Linked DNA regions of Mus musculus. The protein of the gene in region 2 interacts with the protein of the main gene of each other region in a biochemical or structural test. Links are inferred from orthologs where the notes say so. Each region holds a gene or a part of one and is shown on either strand. Other genes may lie near its edges.

The links. The genes of interacting proteins can lie anywhere in the genome.
Region 1: the proteins of Nup62 (region 2) and Nutf2 form a complex in vitro, tested with the Homo sapiens proteins (3 studies listed by BioGRID). The link is inferred for Mus musculus from reciprocal best matches to the Homo sapiens genes NUP62 and NUTF2.
Region 3: of the proteins of Nup62 (region 2) and Ogt, one has a biochemical effect on the other in vitro, tested with the Homo sapiens proteins (2 studies listed by BioGRID). The link is inferred for Mus musculus from reciprocal best matches to the Homo sapiens genes NUP62 and OGT.
Region 4: the proteins of Nup62 (region 2) and Nxf1 form a complex in vitro, tested with the Homo sapiens proteins (3 studies listed by BioGRID and IntAct). The link is inferred for Mus musculus from reciprocal best matches to the Homo sapiens genes NUP62 and NXF1.

Annotation. Positions count from the first base shown.
Region 1 is NC_000074.6:105,859,137-105,863,343, forward strand, and holds the start of Nutf2 (nuclear transport factor 2), read left to right. Parts: upstream 1-1,396; 5' UTR 1,397-1,569; exon of another isoform or gene 1,570-1,575; intron 1,576-1,738; exon of another isoform or gene 1,739-2,020; intron 2,021-4,207. UniProt on the Homo sapiens protein: Mediates the import of GDP-bound RAN from the cytoplasm into the nucleus which is essential for the function of RAN in cargo receptor-mediated nucleocytoplasmic transport.
Region 2 is NC_000073.6:44,814,736-44,818,887, reverse strand, and holds the start of Nup62 (nuclear pore glycoprotein p62), read right to left. Parts: upstream 2,801-4,152; 5' UTR 2,405-2,800; exon of another isoform or gene 2,230-2,404; intron 1-2,229. Other genes in the region: Atf5 (cyclic AMP-dependent transcription factor ATF-5), read left to right, coding at 3,722-3,899. UniProt on the Homo sapiens protein: Essential component of the nuclear pore complex. The N-terminal is probably involved in nucleocytoplasmic transport.
Region 3 is NC_000086.7:101,638,813-101,642,861, reverse strand, and holds the start of Ogt (UDP-N-acetylglucosamine--peptide N-acetylglucosaminyltransferase 110 kDa subunit), read right to left. Parts: upstream 2,812-4,049; 5' UTR 2,577-2,811; coding exon 2,540-2,576; intron 1-2,539. UniProt on the Homo sapiens protein: Catalyzes the transfer of a single N-acetylglucosamine from UDP-GlcNAc to a serine or threonine residue in cytoplasmic and nuclear proteins resulting in their modification with a beta-linked N-acetylglucosamine (O-GlcNAc).
Region 4 is NC_000085.6:8,755,678-8,759,913, reverse strand, and holds the start of Nxf1 (nuclear RNA export factor 1), read right to left. Parts: upstream 2,812-4,236; 5' UTR 2,683-2,811; coding exon 2,655-2,682; intron 1-2,654.

The DNA.
Region 1 (4,207 bases), on a different chromosome or scaffold from region 2:
ACATTCCTTGGATCCTTCATCCTGTCTCATGATTTGCTTGTGTTTTGTTTTCTTGGTGGGGTCAGGCTCCTGATGTGTCGCCAACAGGGTAACATGGAGTTCTTAGTGACCAAGCAAAGTGGTCTGGATAGACAGAGGATTTTTTTTCTCTTTTTTTTTTTTTTTTGGTTTGTTTTGTTTTTCGAGACAGGGTTTCTCTGTCTCCTGGAAGTCCTGGAGCTCACTCTTTAGACCAGGCTGGCCTTGAACTCAGAAATCTGCTGTCTCTGCCTCCCAAGTGCAGAGATTAAAGGCACGTGCCACCACTGCCCAGTTTAGACAGGGGCTTTAATCAAGAAGCTTAGCCTGGTTTTATCAGTCATCTCCAGGAGGTGGGGTGAGGCTAAGAGGGCAAAACAGAAGTATTAAAGAGTCTTCTGACTAGGAAGATAGGGGTGTTTGCAGCCATTTTCCTTTTCTGTGGTTCTGTGGGTTGGTAGCAGAGCCATTTGCCCAGCACAGGCGGGACGGAGAGGCGTTACTTCAAATATTTGTGTCACCCAGGAAACTGAAAAGGATATTGAAAGTAAAGGGGAAGGGGTGGGAAGATTATTTACAGTCTGGCCATTTAGGAAAATTACGTTTCGCCAGTTATCTTTCAATAAAAATTAAAGTTGGAAGGTGAGCTGGCTCCGTGGGTCGCTAAACCTGAGAGAATCTGATTTCAAGGCCCCCATGGTGGAAGAACTGACTCCAGAAAGCTGCTTCTCTCCTCCACACCCATGTCGTGGCTCATCCCTCCTCAACACAAATAAACAAACAAAAATAGTTGCCCTGTCTGCTCCAACAAAACAAGTAAACCTGGAAATCAAAAAAAGAAAACCCTCACGATTCTGTTTTTAAAAATACCTCTCTGTACACGTGAGGTTAACCTCTCCAACTATGGGCCCACCTTAGATGAGTGTTTAGAGTTTCAATAAAAACCTAGTTACCTTCCAACCAACTTTGGGATAAGTGGCTTCCTCTGAGACACAGCTAACTCATTGAACAAGAGAGGAGTGGGTTTCGCCCCCGTGGGTTGATGCTAGAGGAGCAGAGCTGGTAGCCAGGGCGCCTAAAGGGAGTAGGCTTTGGACTAGGGGCCTAGGGAGGGGCTGCTGGGACAAGCCAGCCAGCTCCAAGCTAAACCAGGCTCCCATGGAGGCGGGGTCAGGCTCCATAGGCCACATACACTTAGGCGGGGCCAAGCCAGCTGGGACCCAGCTACAACCGAGACCTGATCCTTGCCTGGCGCCAACTCCGTGTTCCAGAGGCTTCCGCTAGACCACAATTCTCAGGGGCTCACCCGGACCGCCTCCCTCCCTAACTTAGCCTCTCCTCCCGCGCTGCGAGCCGTGGCTGCGCCTCTGCGAATGGCATTCTGGGAAATGTAGTTCTAGCTAAGCTCACTAAGGCGTATAAGGAGCATACTGGGACTACGTTTCCCTGAGTGCAGCGGGACGGGCGAGGGAAGGCAAGGGGGAAGGGACAGTCGGTCGCAGACCGCGCTGGGTTGCCGCCGCCGCTGCCGCCATCGTGCCAGCCCCACGGGTGAGTGTTGGGGCCAGCGCTCCGGGGCGGGGGCTGGGCCGCAGGAGCCGCGCTCTAGGCCGCCGGGAGCTTCTGCTTCGAGGCCCTGGGAGGCCCCTCCCCTCTTCACACCCCCACGGCGGCCCGAAGAGGCACGGGGCCCGCACCATGTGTCGCGCGCGGCTCCGCCTACCGCGGATTGTCTGCGGCCGCGGCCCGGGGAATGCTGAGAGCCTGATGGACGGCTGTCCGGGCCACCCTGTGTCTTGGCTGATGGCCAGATCTTTTTCTTTTGTCCGGACGATCAGGATAGCTCTCAGGGCCCGGCCCTGTGTGGCCTTGCCTGGCTTGCTCGAATCCTGCAACCTCTGCAGGCAGGTTGGCGGGCCGATCCCAGACCCACGTCCCACCACCCGCCGGCGAAGATCCGGGGATGGGCAACGCCACCCAGCTCGCTCCAGAGCCAGCATGGGTAAGGGTGGCCCTCCTGCCGCTGCTGGGGCTTGGGACCATTGCCCGGTTCCAAACCATAGCCCGGCTAGGATGTAGGTGAACGCTTCTCTGCTTGATTGCCTGCTGGGAGTGCACGAAACTTAACCTCTACCTCGGTAGAACCGGTGCTGCAGTGTCCAGCATGGAGGACAAGGGCAGGGATTCTGGGGTGGGAGGGGATGCCTCGTGGGACTTTACCTCTAGCTAGTCCTGGAAAATAAGGACCTAGTATCTTTGGAGAGGCAGCTCCAATCTTATCCATGACTAGACTCCAGCTCTGGGGTGGGTTGTGTGAGCCTCCAGTGTTTTTGTTAGATTTCTCAGTCAGGGCCCAATTCTAAAGTACGTTAGAACCTCCTAGAGTTAGCAGGAAGATGACTCCTTACTGAAGTGATGAGGTCGGATTTAATTCATGAAGAAATGGACTCCATGCTTGAGGTTTTTGAGCCCAGAGAAGGTGGAAGGGGCCTTGTGCCTATGGCACTGGCTTAGACTGTTTTTGCCTTTTGAAGTTGTTTTGTAGATCTAGAACTAGAAGTCACGATGTCTGCTTTCTCTTCACGTGTGCTAGGGCTGCCTGTGAACAGTCAAGAAGCTGGATGGGTCTAGAGAAAGTACCTTAGCAATGGCACCTCAGGTCATCCATCACCTTGAATTCCTGGAGATGTAGTGTATTTGACTAGTTACTAGTAGGCAGGCTTTGAGAATGCACTTCTGTTTTGAGTGATGATTAGGAACTAGTGGAGAAAAGCTCCCAGGACTTGGCAGAAAGCATCTCTTGTCAGGTTGAATTCTCTGGTCTGTTGCTGGCTTCTGTGTCACAGTTCTTAAAAGGCCTAAGAGGTCCCAGAGACCTGGGCAAGCAGAGTGCCCAGTCTCTTAGGATGACTGACTTAGGGCCAGAAAGCTGAAAGCCACTATCTTTAGCGCCCCCTGCTCCCTGAATATTTCCTCAGTACTGTTGCTCTGGCTTTCACTTGATTTTTTTTTTCCCCCTCCAGTACAGTTCTCTGTCCAGTCATTCTCCCTAGTCAAAGGCCACAAGCAAATTGCTCAGCTCTCACCAGGGCCTACCTTCTATGGACTGACTCAGCTTCTTAATCTCTATTATAGCTGTTAAGCACATGGAAGTAAGGCTTAGCCAATAGGCTCTGGAGAGACTCCCTGGTGTGCTAAGCTAAGCAGTTGGGAAGGACTATCCACAGAACATAAAAGGTCAAAGAAGTAGGAGCCACTTGGAACTAAAAGCAGCTATTTCCACACTTTTTTTGGAGACAGGGATGTAACTCAGTTGATAGATTTCTTGTTTGATCACTAGCACTGAATAAACTGGGTATGGTGGTACAAGCTTGCAGTCCAGTTTACTTACCTACCATCATAGAGGTAGGAACATGAGGATCACAAGTTACATCTTCAGCTGCATGGGAAATTCAAGGTCAGCCTGGGATACATGAGACCCCGCCTCAAAGAACTAAAACCAACTCCAGCTTGTCTCAGTTTTAGATGAGTTGTGTTTATGGCTGTAGATCAGCTTGCATATTCCAAGCTTTTGGGTGGTGTGTGCAGAGGAGATATCTCTCTCCCTCTCCCTCTCCCCTCTTTTCATAGTGCTGGGTAGGAATCAAACCTTAACTTTATAAACACTAGGCTATGTATACTTTTGCATCTTCAGGATCAAAAAGATAGTGTTCAAGAAATTTGGGTTTCTCCTTATTCCTTAAAAGTTCTCAGGAATGGCTCAGTGGGTAAGAGCACCCGACTGCTCTTCCGAAGGTTCAGAGTTCAAATCCCAGCAACCACATGGTGGCTCACAACCATCCATAACAAGATCTGACACCCTCTTCTGGATTGTCTGAAGACAGCTACAGTGTACTTACATATAATAAATAAATGAATCTTTAAAAAAAAAAAAAAAAAAAAAAAAAAAAGTTCTCAGGAGCCAGGAGGTGGTGGCGCACGCCTTTAATCCCAGCACTCGGGAGGCAGAGGCAGGCGGATTTCTGAGTTCGAGGCCAGCCTGGTCTACAGAGTGAGTTCCAGGACAGCCAGGGCTATACAGAGAAACCCTGTCTCGGAAAAACCAAAATAAATAAATTAGTTAATTAATTAAAATGTAAATGGTGACATATGCCTGTAGTCCTAGCACTTGTGAGACTGAAGGGGTGAT
Region 2 (4,152 bases):
CTCAGGGTGGCAGGCCTCCAGGGATGATCACAACTCCCATAAAGTGACGGCTGTGCACATGCTGGGGAGGGCATGGCAGCTAAATGTGAAAACCAGCTCTTGAGTTAAGGTGGATCTGAGGGCGGGGGAAGCATCTGGGTAGGACCTCAGGAAAGAAAAAAGAAGTACCATGGGGAAGACTATGGGCTGGTACCCCCACTCTGCACTGTCTTTGAAACCTTTCGATTATTCCAAAAGTTTACTTTAAAATACCAAACTCAAGGAAAGGAGCACCACCGGCACAGCAACATGGCACAATGTTTCAAATAAAAACCAGCACCTGTGGGGCCCAGGGATGCAGCTCAGGTGGTAGAATGTCCATTTAGCATGCAGTTCATGAAGCTCTGGGTCCATCCCATTTCTGTATTCGTAGCAGACTCCACATGGACTTAACAAAGCCCATAGCTGGCAAGGGAGGGCTGGAGTCTAAACACATCAAATCACGCCTGTGCTCAAACACTGGCAGAAGATAAGAATTCACACTCTGATGGCTCAGTGTTACAGAGCACTGACTGCTTTTCCAGAGCAACCACATGGTGGCTCACAACCATCTGCAATGGAATCTGATGCCCTCTTCTGGTGTGTCTGAAGAGAACCTGTGTACTTACATAAATAAAATCTAAAAAAAAAAAAAGAGTGCCCATTCCAAGGGGAATTATCTCAAGGACTTGTAACTTTCAAAATCAGTATTCCCCACCTGCTCTGAATCTTTTACAGTACCAGGGATGGACACCAGAGTCTGGAAAGCAGTATTCTGGCCAACACTCTGCCACCAACCTCCAACCCCAGCCCATTACATATTTTTTTAAAATCAGGATCTTTGTTAAGTTCTCTAGACAGCCAAGAACTCACTTTCTAGTCAAGGCAAGCCTTGAGCTTTTTTCCTCCCCTTACTCAGTATGTAGACCTGTCACTACAGGTGGTGGAGGTCAGAGGACAACCGTCTAGAGTTGCTTTTGTCCTTCTACCAAGTGGGTCCTGAGGATGGAACTCAGGAGGGTTGAGTTTAGAGATCACCACCAGAGCCATCTCAAAGCAGCTCCAGCCCTGACCTTGACTTTCAATACTCCTGTCTTAGCCTCCTAAGTAGGTGAGATATCAAGCCTGGCCTCTGGACTTTTTCTTTTTAAAACACATTGAGGCCAGTCAGTATGACCCTGAACTCATGATTTCTTTTCTCCCATCTCCCAAATCCTGAGAATACAGGCAAGTCAAGCCCAATCCATGTGGTGCTTGGACAGAGACTAAGGTTCTGGTGTTAAAAACAGACGAGCATTCTTGAGCTCTATCTCCAACCATTCAGTCTCTCAGCTGCTACAAATATGACACACTGACTGACTTTCACATGGAATGCCAGCCATGTACATGAACATGGGGTAGAAAACAGGGTTCACGCATCATCCCCGGTGAAGGACAAGAGGGACTCTTTTACTAAATGGAATATAAATGTCCTATTTTGGACAGGATCAAGAAATAATTATCTAGTGGGGTCAGCAAGAGAGCAAGGACTGCAAGAAAGTCAGAGCAAGGGCAAAACCTTAGAGGTCGGCAGGGATGGCTGGAAACAGAAACCTTGGAGGTGGGACACACAGAACGATCATATGGCTAAGAATCTGGGGTAGGGAGAGTAAAAGAGGTGAAGTCAGGGTTTTTTTCTAAAAGAAAATACAATGACTGAGCAGTGGGTAAAGGCTGCCAAATAGTTTGACCCGAGTTCCGTCCCTGGGACTCACATGGTCAGAGAACCAACTCCTGCTAGCTCTCCTCTGACCACCACAATAAATGTTAAAACAAAACAAACAAAAATATGTTGAAGAGTCTCGTGGTTAGGACTTCGTGGCCTACTTTCCATAGCTGATATATCTGTGCGCGTATACAGCGCTCTACAAGTACTTGGGAAGCGTTATCTCGCGGTTGCTGCCTGGAACTCCTCTATGAAGCCTAAGCTAGCTTGCGCCATTCGGCGATGGGCTTAACCCACGAGGTCTCGGGTGGCAAATTCGTGAAGCAGGGAGAGAGAACGAGACGAGCTGGTTTCGGGTGTGAAAGACACATCGGATCTGACCGATTCAGGAGACCGAGCCCGGGCCCCCAGCCTGAAGCAGAGAGTGGAGGGTCAGGGCGACATGGCGGGCCCGGGGTCGCCACCGCCCCGTCGGGGCCGCGCGAGGGCGGGGCGCGGAGGGATCCAGGCAAGCCCGCGCTGCGCCGCCCCCGGTATATTTGTCCCCAGGCCCCGGGGCCGCCTCATTTTCAACCCTCTCAGCACAGTCTCCCTTAACGCTCCCGCCACGCCGCCTCCGCCCGCGCAATGGCTCTGTAGCCGCGACCCCGTCGTGTCCCCCGCCCCCGTCTCCGCGCTCACCGCGCCTTCACTCTCCGCTCACACCGTCTCTTCAGCCGAGGCCGCCGCCGCCGTTGCCTCCTCGCCTTTTCGCCGCCATGGAGTGAGTAACCGCTCGCCCCTCCCTCGCCAACTGCCTTTCCCGCCCTTTCAGAGCTCGCGGGGCTTCACGGGTCAGCCTCGTGGTGGGGGCGGGGGAGACGAAGTGAGGAACCACGGTCGCGCAGGCGCAGAAGAGGGAAGCTGGCGGCCGGCGCATCCGCTGAGCAAGCGCACTAGGCTCGAGTTGCGAGGGGCGGGGAGGAGGAGGGCGTGCTTCCGGAGAATTTGGGGGCTTTTAAGGTCGGCTCGCGCGCCGTTGCGCCTGCGCGCTAATTCACAGACCCTCTGCCCCTTTTCCTCCAAGGAGACAACCCCACAACCTGTTGCGCATGCGCATTGTCTTATTCCCCCACCCCCCCACCCCTCCACCCCCGGCCTGAACTACGGCGGGCGGCCGGTCATTGGCTAAACACGCGCACTGGTCCCCCAGGAGGGTAGTGGCGTAACAATGGATCGGGTCCTGGGACTGAGCTTGCGCCTCGTCGCTAGTCGAGCCAGCAGCGAGGAAGGGTGGGGTTTTGCTTGAGGCTCCGACTCAGGCCCAACTTCCCTCCAATCAGACACCTGCTGGGGCGGGGACTGGCTTAAACTGACAGGAAAGGCTTTAGGAACACCTTTAAGAAAGAGTTAGCACTAGCACTACAGGGGCGGGGCCTCTAGGGACTTGCTAGTGGGGGACGGGAACTGACTGTGACAGACAGAAGGGTGGGCGGAGCTTCCCGTAGAATCTTTAGAAGTCACCAAAATTTTTAAGGGAAGAGCGGGATCTGTGTGTGTGACACTGATGAAGGGCCCAGGCATGCAGAATTATTCTGGGAACCCCTGTGGATTAAAGGGGGTATAGTCTAATGATGCGGAAGGGGCACGGCTAGAAGGAAATTCCCTTGGGATTGAAATTTTTATGAAGAGGAATAAGATGAGGTGGGTAGGAGGGACTAGAGGTAATTCCCCTGGGAAAACACTAGGTTTCTGTGTTGAGGGAGGAGATGGGGCAGGGGAGTTTCCAATAATGTCCCTGGGAATGTGTGGAGCGCTGAAATTTTCGGAAAGAAGGAAACTGTGTAGCCTGTGGGTCAAGCCGCTTTGACTCAATCCCACCCACGTCCCCTTGTCCTCACAGGTCCTCCACCTTCGCCTTGGTGCCTGTCTTCACCCAGCTGAACAATCTTCCACGCTGCCTCCCAATTGTTGGTGCAGCCTCCATTGCCGTCGCTGCCCTGTGCCTGTGTCACAGCCATGTCACTCCTGGCGACCCTGGGACTGGAGCTGGACAGGGCCCTGCTCCCAGCTAGCGGGCTGGGCTGGCTCGTAGACTATGGGAAACTCCCCCTGGCCCCTGCCCCCCTGGGCCCCTATGAGGTCCTTGGGGGTGCCCTGGAGGGCGGGCTTCCAGGGGGGGGAGAGCCCCTGGCAGGTAAGAACAGGTTAAGAAGAGAGGTGGGTTGAGCTGGGGGTGGGGGTGGACAGAAAAGGAAGAATTTATTCCTTCACAAGATCAGTACTGAGGGCCTGCAGTGTGCCCAACACTGTTCTAGGTCTGCAGGGTTCCGAGCAAGGGATCCCTAAGCTCATGGGTGCATCAGGAGACAGAAGTGGGAGACCAAAGCTTAGTGGACAGTGATGAAAGACATAGTTGAGAAGTCAGCCCCTCTAAGTAGATGACATCT
Region 3 (4,049 bases), on a different chromosome or scaffold from region 2:
CTATGTAAAGCACCAGAGTGTTCTGCATTTTATTTAAAACCCAGTCTACAGAATTGATCTCTTTCAAATCTGCCCATTGTTAATGCTTCCTTTTCTAAACCCCATAGTAATATTGACTTCCAGAAAAGATTCCTTTCTTACATTTTGTACTTTTTCTTACAAATCATAGGAAGATTCACTAAAATCACTAAACTTAGTATACTGACACAAAACATTAAACATGAAATCTGCAGAAGTTACAAGGATTTATTGTCAGAATAACCTATCGCTTAACAATACTTCATCTCACATTTCAAGGTGGAGTGTATTCTAACTCTCTCGGTGTGGGTGGGGACACCAGGTGTCTCTTTAACTCTTTATATTGATGTTTGTGAGTTTTACAGCTTTCTTTTTTAAAAAGAGCCAGCCTAAAGAAACCGGCTGAAAGCCAAAGAGTTACTTTTAAAGCAAGCAGCTGATAAACAAGATGACTTAGCAGTCAAGGGCTAAAGCATTTCATAATGGGTTCGCCAAACATTTTAAACAAAAAACCCAAACGTTGTTCCTCTTCTGGAGAGGACTCAGGAGCCCAAATTAGCTAAATCCCACCCACGCTGCCTTACATTTTCTGCTGTGTTCATGGCTCTCACAGAAGTACTAAGACATTAAAAACAACCCTATTCAATAACCAGGCAACAATCTACAATTGGAAAAGCTTTTAAATGCTGCAATAATATAAAACACGGGATAAAATATAATAAATAACAAAAAATGCTTTTGTTCTGAAGGACTTGATTTAGTTAACATAATAAAAGCCAAAATCCAGGTGCTCGCCTAAGGCTCGGCTGTAAACATTTATCTCCACAATAATTCATTATTAGGAATTCAAGGATAACACTCTAGAGATTAGAATGGGAAACCACAGACCTGGTACTTAATTTTAACCAAGGTCATGGGGACAAGCTCAAATTTGAGCCAGGCTTTCCCATACCAGAGCAATTTCTGCACAGCTAACCACAAAAACAAAGACCAAAAATATTTGTGTCCAAATCTGAGGTTGGAGCTAGAAGATCAACTAGAAAATTACATGTTAGACAAGAACGTAGCACTTTCTAGCTCCTAAATTTAGCACATTACCTATCACTTTCCAAAGTCACATATCTGCTCTTTTAATACTGGAAATGACCATTTCTTCAAATAAAGTTAACAGTCAGAAAAGAGCAAGTTCTTACAAAAACCTACGACAGAATCTTACATTTTTGAAAATCATGATGGGGAAACAGAAAGGTGGAAATCTTGATCCCATTCCCATCTATTAAGGATGAGATACTATTTTAGAGTCATCTATTTATCTCACAATATTCAAAATCGTCAACTAAAACCTAGACACTGAGAAACAATAACCTCTCGGGAACCTTAGAGCTGCAGCCTGGTTCCCCATCCCCTCCCGCCCCAAACAGCCTCAATCTGGAAAGGCAGTTGAAGGACACTCCTACAATTTGGTTGTTTTCTTATTTTCTGTAGCAAAGGCTTGGAGATGCATCGTTGAAAAGAGGCAACCGCTTTGCACTTGTGCAGCTACACTCCAGTTGCTTTACAAACTCTTCAAGCAAGGATGGAAACTTAAAAAAGAAATAATAATGCACACCCTATGGATAAAGAGATACTGGGCTAAAGAATGGGGATGAAAACCCAGAGGCCATGGCGGAGGAATACATAGAGAAAGTAACACAAAGAAAGAGAATTAGGAGGGCGGGCAGGGTGGTCGCCGCCAAGCAACACACCGAGGTGGTTTCTTCCCTGAGGATAAGAAACGACTGTCGGGCTGGCACGTTCGCAGAGGAAGGGTGTGGTTGCAACAAGCAGGGAGGGCTGACCAGGGTAGGAAACTCCGTACTGGGGCAGCGGGTGCAATTGGGTGATGGCTAAGAGAACCCCTGGAAATTTCCAACCTAAATCGGGGCCGCTCAACCCAAGAACACAAGGCGCTGCCCCGGCGGGGTGCGGGCTCAAGTAGCTCTTCTTGGTGCTACTTGGAAGCACACCGAGGAGCCTTCGCTAGTCATGCCTGATGCAAAGTGAGGCTAGGATTACACCGAAATAGCATCCCCGCCCTAGCCTGGCAAAGGAGGACCAAATGTGGCTAAGGGAAAGGGGCTTTGGGGAGGAGGTGGAAGCGCACGGGAGGGAGCGACGGGCTGAAATTGAGGGAGAAAACAGTTGCGACGGGAGACAGAAATTGCAGAGATTCCAATGCAGCCCATTCCAAGACACACTAAGCGCGCACGTGTGCTATAGATTCGTCCCGAGAGAGAAGGCTACAACACTGATGGGATAAAGCAACAACGAAAAAGCCCCCAAAGCAAGCAAAATGCAAGCAAGCAACTAGAGAATGTTTACGAACGGACGGCAGCACCAAACCCGATCAGATAGCAGTAGAACTCGAGAGCTCAGTAATGCCACTGATGTAATGGGGATGGTCAGAGGGAAGTAATGAAAGATACAAGACGGCGCCAGACCCCAAAGGGACGTCTGCCAGAGTAGAATGGGACACTAGTACCTGTACTGTCGGCCACGTTGCCCACGGAAGACGCCATCTGGAGCTTCTTGAGATAGAACAAGGGGTAATTGACTTCTACTGCCGCCACTACTGACAAGAATGGTTCTAGAAGTAGCAGAAAAAAGGCAGCAGCCGTATCAGTGTTTTGAAGGGCTCAGGGGGCGGCACAGAATACTGAACTCGAATCTTAGGAACTCTTGGTAGACATCTACCTCTCACTGTCTTGAAATGGCGGCGAGGGCTCCTCGACCGAAACAACACAAGCCGGAACTACTTTCTGTTATAATCAAGTACCCCGCGGAGGTAGCGCGTAACAAGACTACCGACCAAGTGACTGTAATCAAAGTCATTTGCTCTTACGTAACCTTCCGCCCAAGGTCCATTGCGACAAACATGACTGTAGAGAGCGCATGCGACAACCCTGTCTAGGCAACTCCGGGTTAAGGGCTCCCTATGGGGCAAGAGCCAGCAAGTTTTTAAGAGCAAGGCGGAAGGGCAAAAAACGCCCGTCGATTACTTTTTTTTTTTTTTTTTTTTTTTTTTTTTTTGGCAAGCGCTAAAGTACGAGTCTACTACCTGGTCAGTGATGTCGATGTTAGAATGTCAGAGCGTCTAGAAAAGTTTAATTAACTCCATTCAACAGAAAAGGGTAGTTTACACGACCAACGTGTTAGTTCTAAGCAAGTAAACGCGAATATTTGCGTTTCAGAGACGGGGCTGTTCAAAACAATGGGGGAGCCGGTTCGATTTGAATGCTTTTTGATTCAGACTCCACCCATGAATTTAAGTACTTTGATGAGAAAAACGGACAGTCTCCCTGAGCTGAGTGAACCCAAATGTGTTCGATTTGAACCATATAACCCTAAAATTCAAAATCGTTTGTGAGATTCGGGATGGTAACAGGGTAAATGCTAGGAGTTTGCATGTCAAAAGCAACCACAGAAATGTTAAAGAGGATGCCTTTTTCCTCAAAATTCCTGATCCTGAATTGTGACCTTGTTTCGTCAGAATCATTAAGGACTGCAAATGCCTTGGAGCTTAAGGCAATTCAACAAAGCAAACTGTGTTCCTTTGCCTTCTTCCTAAACCACACAACTACAATGAATTTCCAATTGCCTTCCTTTGACAAAACAGCTCTTTGGATCCTCTTACGGTTTCAAGCCCAGTGTTTGGACATTTTTGTCACATTGTTATTAATTTATATTTCCTGCCTTGTTCCTTGACAGTTTTAAGACACGTCACTAAGTGATTATTACAAGCCACTGGGGACTACAGTTAGCTCTCTTAGAGTCTTTCCGTTTCAAAACTCTTTGATCTAGGAAAAATTAGTGAGCTTGTGTAAAAATGTTTGCTGTCTAGCTCCTTGGTGAAATAAAAAACAAATCCTCAAAGGCTGTTTCAGTTTCTTGAGATTGCCAAACAACCTATGAACTTTGGATTATGAGTGCAGAAAAAGTTGATAATATTGTTCATTTCTTCTGCCCCACAGAACCACAACATGTAGTAAAAA
Region 4 (4,236 bases), on a different chromosome or scaffold from region 2:
AACAAATATGTAAAAATAAAAAAGAGTAATGAAAGGTGAATACAATTACAACTGTGTACATGTATAAAATTACCCCCCCCCAAAAAAAACCTTAGAATTTAAAGAAAAAAGAAAACCAAAACCACCCAGAAACCAGATCCTACAAAGAAAACTAAAATGTGGAAGTATGGGCAACCCCAAAATATAACCAGATTCCTGAAAACCACCTAAAATCTGCCACTTGCATATTCTTTTGCTTATGTGTACAGTTGATGGTCACAGAACCAGATGTTATGGCCACCACCTGCAATCCTGGCAATTGGGAAATGGAGGCTTCAATTACACAAGAAATCAAAGCTATGCTGGGCTACATGAGATTCTATCCCAAAAAATAAAAAAATTCTTACAAATAGGACGTATTTAAAGTCTCCTAAAAACAACTACCGCCGGGCAGTGGTGGCGCACTCCTTTAATCCCAGCACTCGGGAGGCAGAGGCAGGCGGATTTCTGAGTTCGAGGCCAGCCTGGTCTACAGAGTGAGTTCCAGGACAGCCAGAGCTACACAGAGAAACTCTGTCTCGAAAAACAAAACAAAACAAAACAAAACCCAAAAAACAACTACCATCTCCTGCACTCGGAACTTGGGAAATGCTAGTTTCTTTGAGCAAAAATAGCCTGCACCTCGAGGGACTTATTGATTCAGGGACTGGTGCAGGTTCCACAGTAAGGAGGTAGGGAATGTTCTCCAATATAACCATTGTTTGAAGCAGGAGGATTCCGAGTTCCAGATAAGCTAAAACCCTGCCTTAAAAAGGGGAAGAAGCCAAACACAGTGGCCCATATCTTTATTCCCAGACAGTGGCAGGCAGAGAACTGTTGAGTTTTGAATGCCAGCATGGTCTACTCATTGAGTTCTAGAACAGAGAGAACTACTCATTGACACACTGTTTCAATAAATAAATTAATAAACAAACAAGCCAACCAAGTGTGGTAGTACACTGTTTAAGAAGAGGATTGGAACTACAGAGTTCAAGGCCAGACCAGGATTGAGACCTGTCTCTCTTAGTGGGTGGTCTGCATATATGTAGACAAAACAAATAAAAGGAGGGCTGAGGATATAGCCCAGTTGACAATGTGCTTGCCTATCCTATCCTTCACACACACACACACACCACCCAGGCTGAGGCAGAATTTGAAACTTCAAGTCAGTCTGGACAACTTGGTGAACCATCTCAAAAAAATAACAGCCGGGCCTGGTGGCGCATGCCTTTAATCCCAGCACTTGGGAGGCAGAGGCAGGCGGATTTCCGAGTTCAAGGCCAGCCTGGTCTACAAAGTGAGTTCCAGGACAGCCAGGGCTACACAGAGAAACCCTGTCTCGAAAAAACAAGGGATTTTCATCCTTCCTTGTCTATAGCTCTGTGGGAGAACAGAAGGCCTGGCACACAGGGAATGACCTGGAACCTCTGATCCTCTTACCTTAAACAGTGCACTACTACACTTGGTTCTATTTATTTTCCTTTTTGCCAGACCTTGAGTTTAACTCTAGGAGCCCAACCCCCCCAAAAAAAAGTAAAAGTCTATGCAATACCGAACTTGGGAAGCTGACACAGGGAGACTGACTGAGGCCAGCCTGGGATACTAGGGCTGACCCTGTAAGGGAGAATTAGCCTTCCCTAGGGATGAATTCCCTAAATGGTTATCCAATCCCAAATGGTAAGCTTTAGAAACAAATATATACACATTAACACTAAATGGGCTCTGCATGTTGGATGAATTTGGGGAGAGAGTTGACAATGGGAATGGCTAGAGAAAGGAGACCAAGTAATTATATTTGAATTAAAATAAAGGTTCATTGGGTAGCTATTTTTCAGGCCTGGATAAATCATCAGTATTACACAAATACAAAAAAGGTATAACTTTCAAAGAAATCCACCTAATATCTAGCATCCTCTAAACAACGATCCTCTCCAAGCAACCCTAGTAAAAAGGAATACATTAAGAGACAGTGAAACTACGGTTCACGGAAGAAAATTCCCACTCCAGTTACTGTGTTCTAGGCACTTGGTAGAAATTATTTCATACGCACACAAACGCACACGCACATGCACACAAACTTGGGAGACAGGTACCCACATGAAAGAGGCGGAAAACAAGGCCTGAAAGTTTAACTCACTCGGGTTTAGTACAGCCAACTCCAGATTCAAACCTCAGCTGTCATAGTGTCCTAACCACCACAATGAATTAACATGTCAGGATAGGTGTTCCGACTAGAAATTTGATAAACAATAAGCAGCAAGCTACAAGAACAGACTGATCGTATCACAAAAAGAAAAAGAAAAATAGGGCACCAGGGTAGCCCACGACCAAGCGACTACTGACTCACATTTAAAGGAAGAGTCGGGCCGCCAAACTGAACTGACAGGCATCAACCACCCTCAAAGTTGAAAGGAATCTTGTCACCCCACCCCTGAGCCACAGGTTCTCCAACGCCTGAATCCGGGCGACTCTGGAGCCCCTGGGTCCCGCGGCGCCCCGCGCCCCCTGCCCGCGCGGCCACCGCTACCTACGGACGTAGGGCTCCTCGCGGCCTCCCGCCCCCGGGCTGAGGCCTAGGCCAGGGCCGCCCACCCCAACCCACCGCGTCGCCTCCCGGCCCGAGGCCCCGCACTGACCGTTGTATGACTTCCCTTCGTCCGCCATGGCACAGGCAGGTACAGGGGCGGGCTCAGGCGCAGAACCTGACGCCACCAAACGCCAAGGAGCCTTAGCGCTCAGGACAGAATCTCTCCTACGACCGGCGCCACCGCATTTATCCGGCGAAGCACGTCGCGCGCCGCCGACGTCCCCAGGATGTGGGCGGTGCCGCGGGACGTGAACGCGCTCTCTGAGCCTGCGCAGAAGCAGGGCGGCCGCTCGGGGGCGTGGCCAGGCCCTCCGAGGCCCGCCCACGGCCGGAGCTCCGGCCGGATGGCCTATCGGCCGGCCCCGCCTTCCTATTTCTTCGCTGGCCCGGTCCCGGAGCTAAACCCTCTGCGTTAGCACTGAACTCAAGAGGAGCAGGGTCGAGGGCTACACACAAGAATGGAGACCTGGCCTCTGAACGGGAGTAACGGCCCACAGTCCCCGCCGGTGGGATCCCGGCAGCGAGTAAGTCGCAGCTCAGTTCCTTGCCAGCCGCTGGCCTATGCCCTCTTAGCTTTTCTCATCTCCACGACGAATTATGACGAAATAGAAAATTGGAATGTAAGCCCCACTGGAGCAGGAACCTTAACTAATGCGAACTTTTCTTCCTCCAGCACAGTATCATGCCCAGTGTGAAACCCAAGTGTGAATTAAACGAAATCCTGTCCTTCGTAGGTTTTTAAATTGACTAATGAAAAAAGGTCTTTTAAATTGACTAATGAAAAAAAAAGTCAAGTCGGGTGTAGTGGAGCAGGTCTTTAAACCCAGCATTTGGAAGGCAGAGGCAGGCAGATCTTTGAGTTTGAGGCCAGTCTTGGCTCTATAGAAATTTCTAGAACAGCCAGAGCTATGTAGAGACCCTTCCTCCAAAAAAAATAAAATAATAAAATAAAATAAAAAAGCTTTAGTCTTACTATCAATACTTTGTCCAGTTCAGAGATAGGGAACACTACATAGACCATCTCAAAACAAAATCAGGGATCTAGTGAGCCTTAAGCCTTGATCTTCACTTCACTCAGTCTGTCATACTGAAGCCTAATTGGTAGACCCAGGTCAGCTAGGTAGGTAGCTAGGGAAAGTTGCTAGTTTTGGGTTTTGTTTCTTGAAACAGGGTTTCTGTGAAACTTGCTTTGTAGACCAAGTTGGCCACAAACTCAAGAAATTCACCTGCTTCCAACTCCCAAGTGTTGACTGAAACTTTAATGTCAAACCCAAGAGCTCTAGGAAACTTTTCTGGTGTGGCTAGGACTATTGCAGCCTTGGATCCAGATGCTGCTGTGGGAGGGGGAAGCAGATGGGGTGCTGGTAGGCATGGAGCATGACTTGATTTGAAGATACAAAACAGGCTCAAACTTATGGGTACTGTCTTGGAAGTTGCCGCCCAATTATGAACCCACTTAGTCCAAAGGAAAACTCTTATGAAGTGCTGCTGTACTTGGCTACTCGCTTCTAGGGGGGAGTTGTGTGTACAGAGCTCCGGAGCTACCCTGCCTATCAGTAGGGGCCCATCAGAGTCACTGACTTAACCCTTTTGGTTCTGGTATTGGGCAGTGGTTAGCTTTTTGCTGAAGT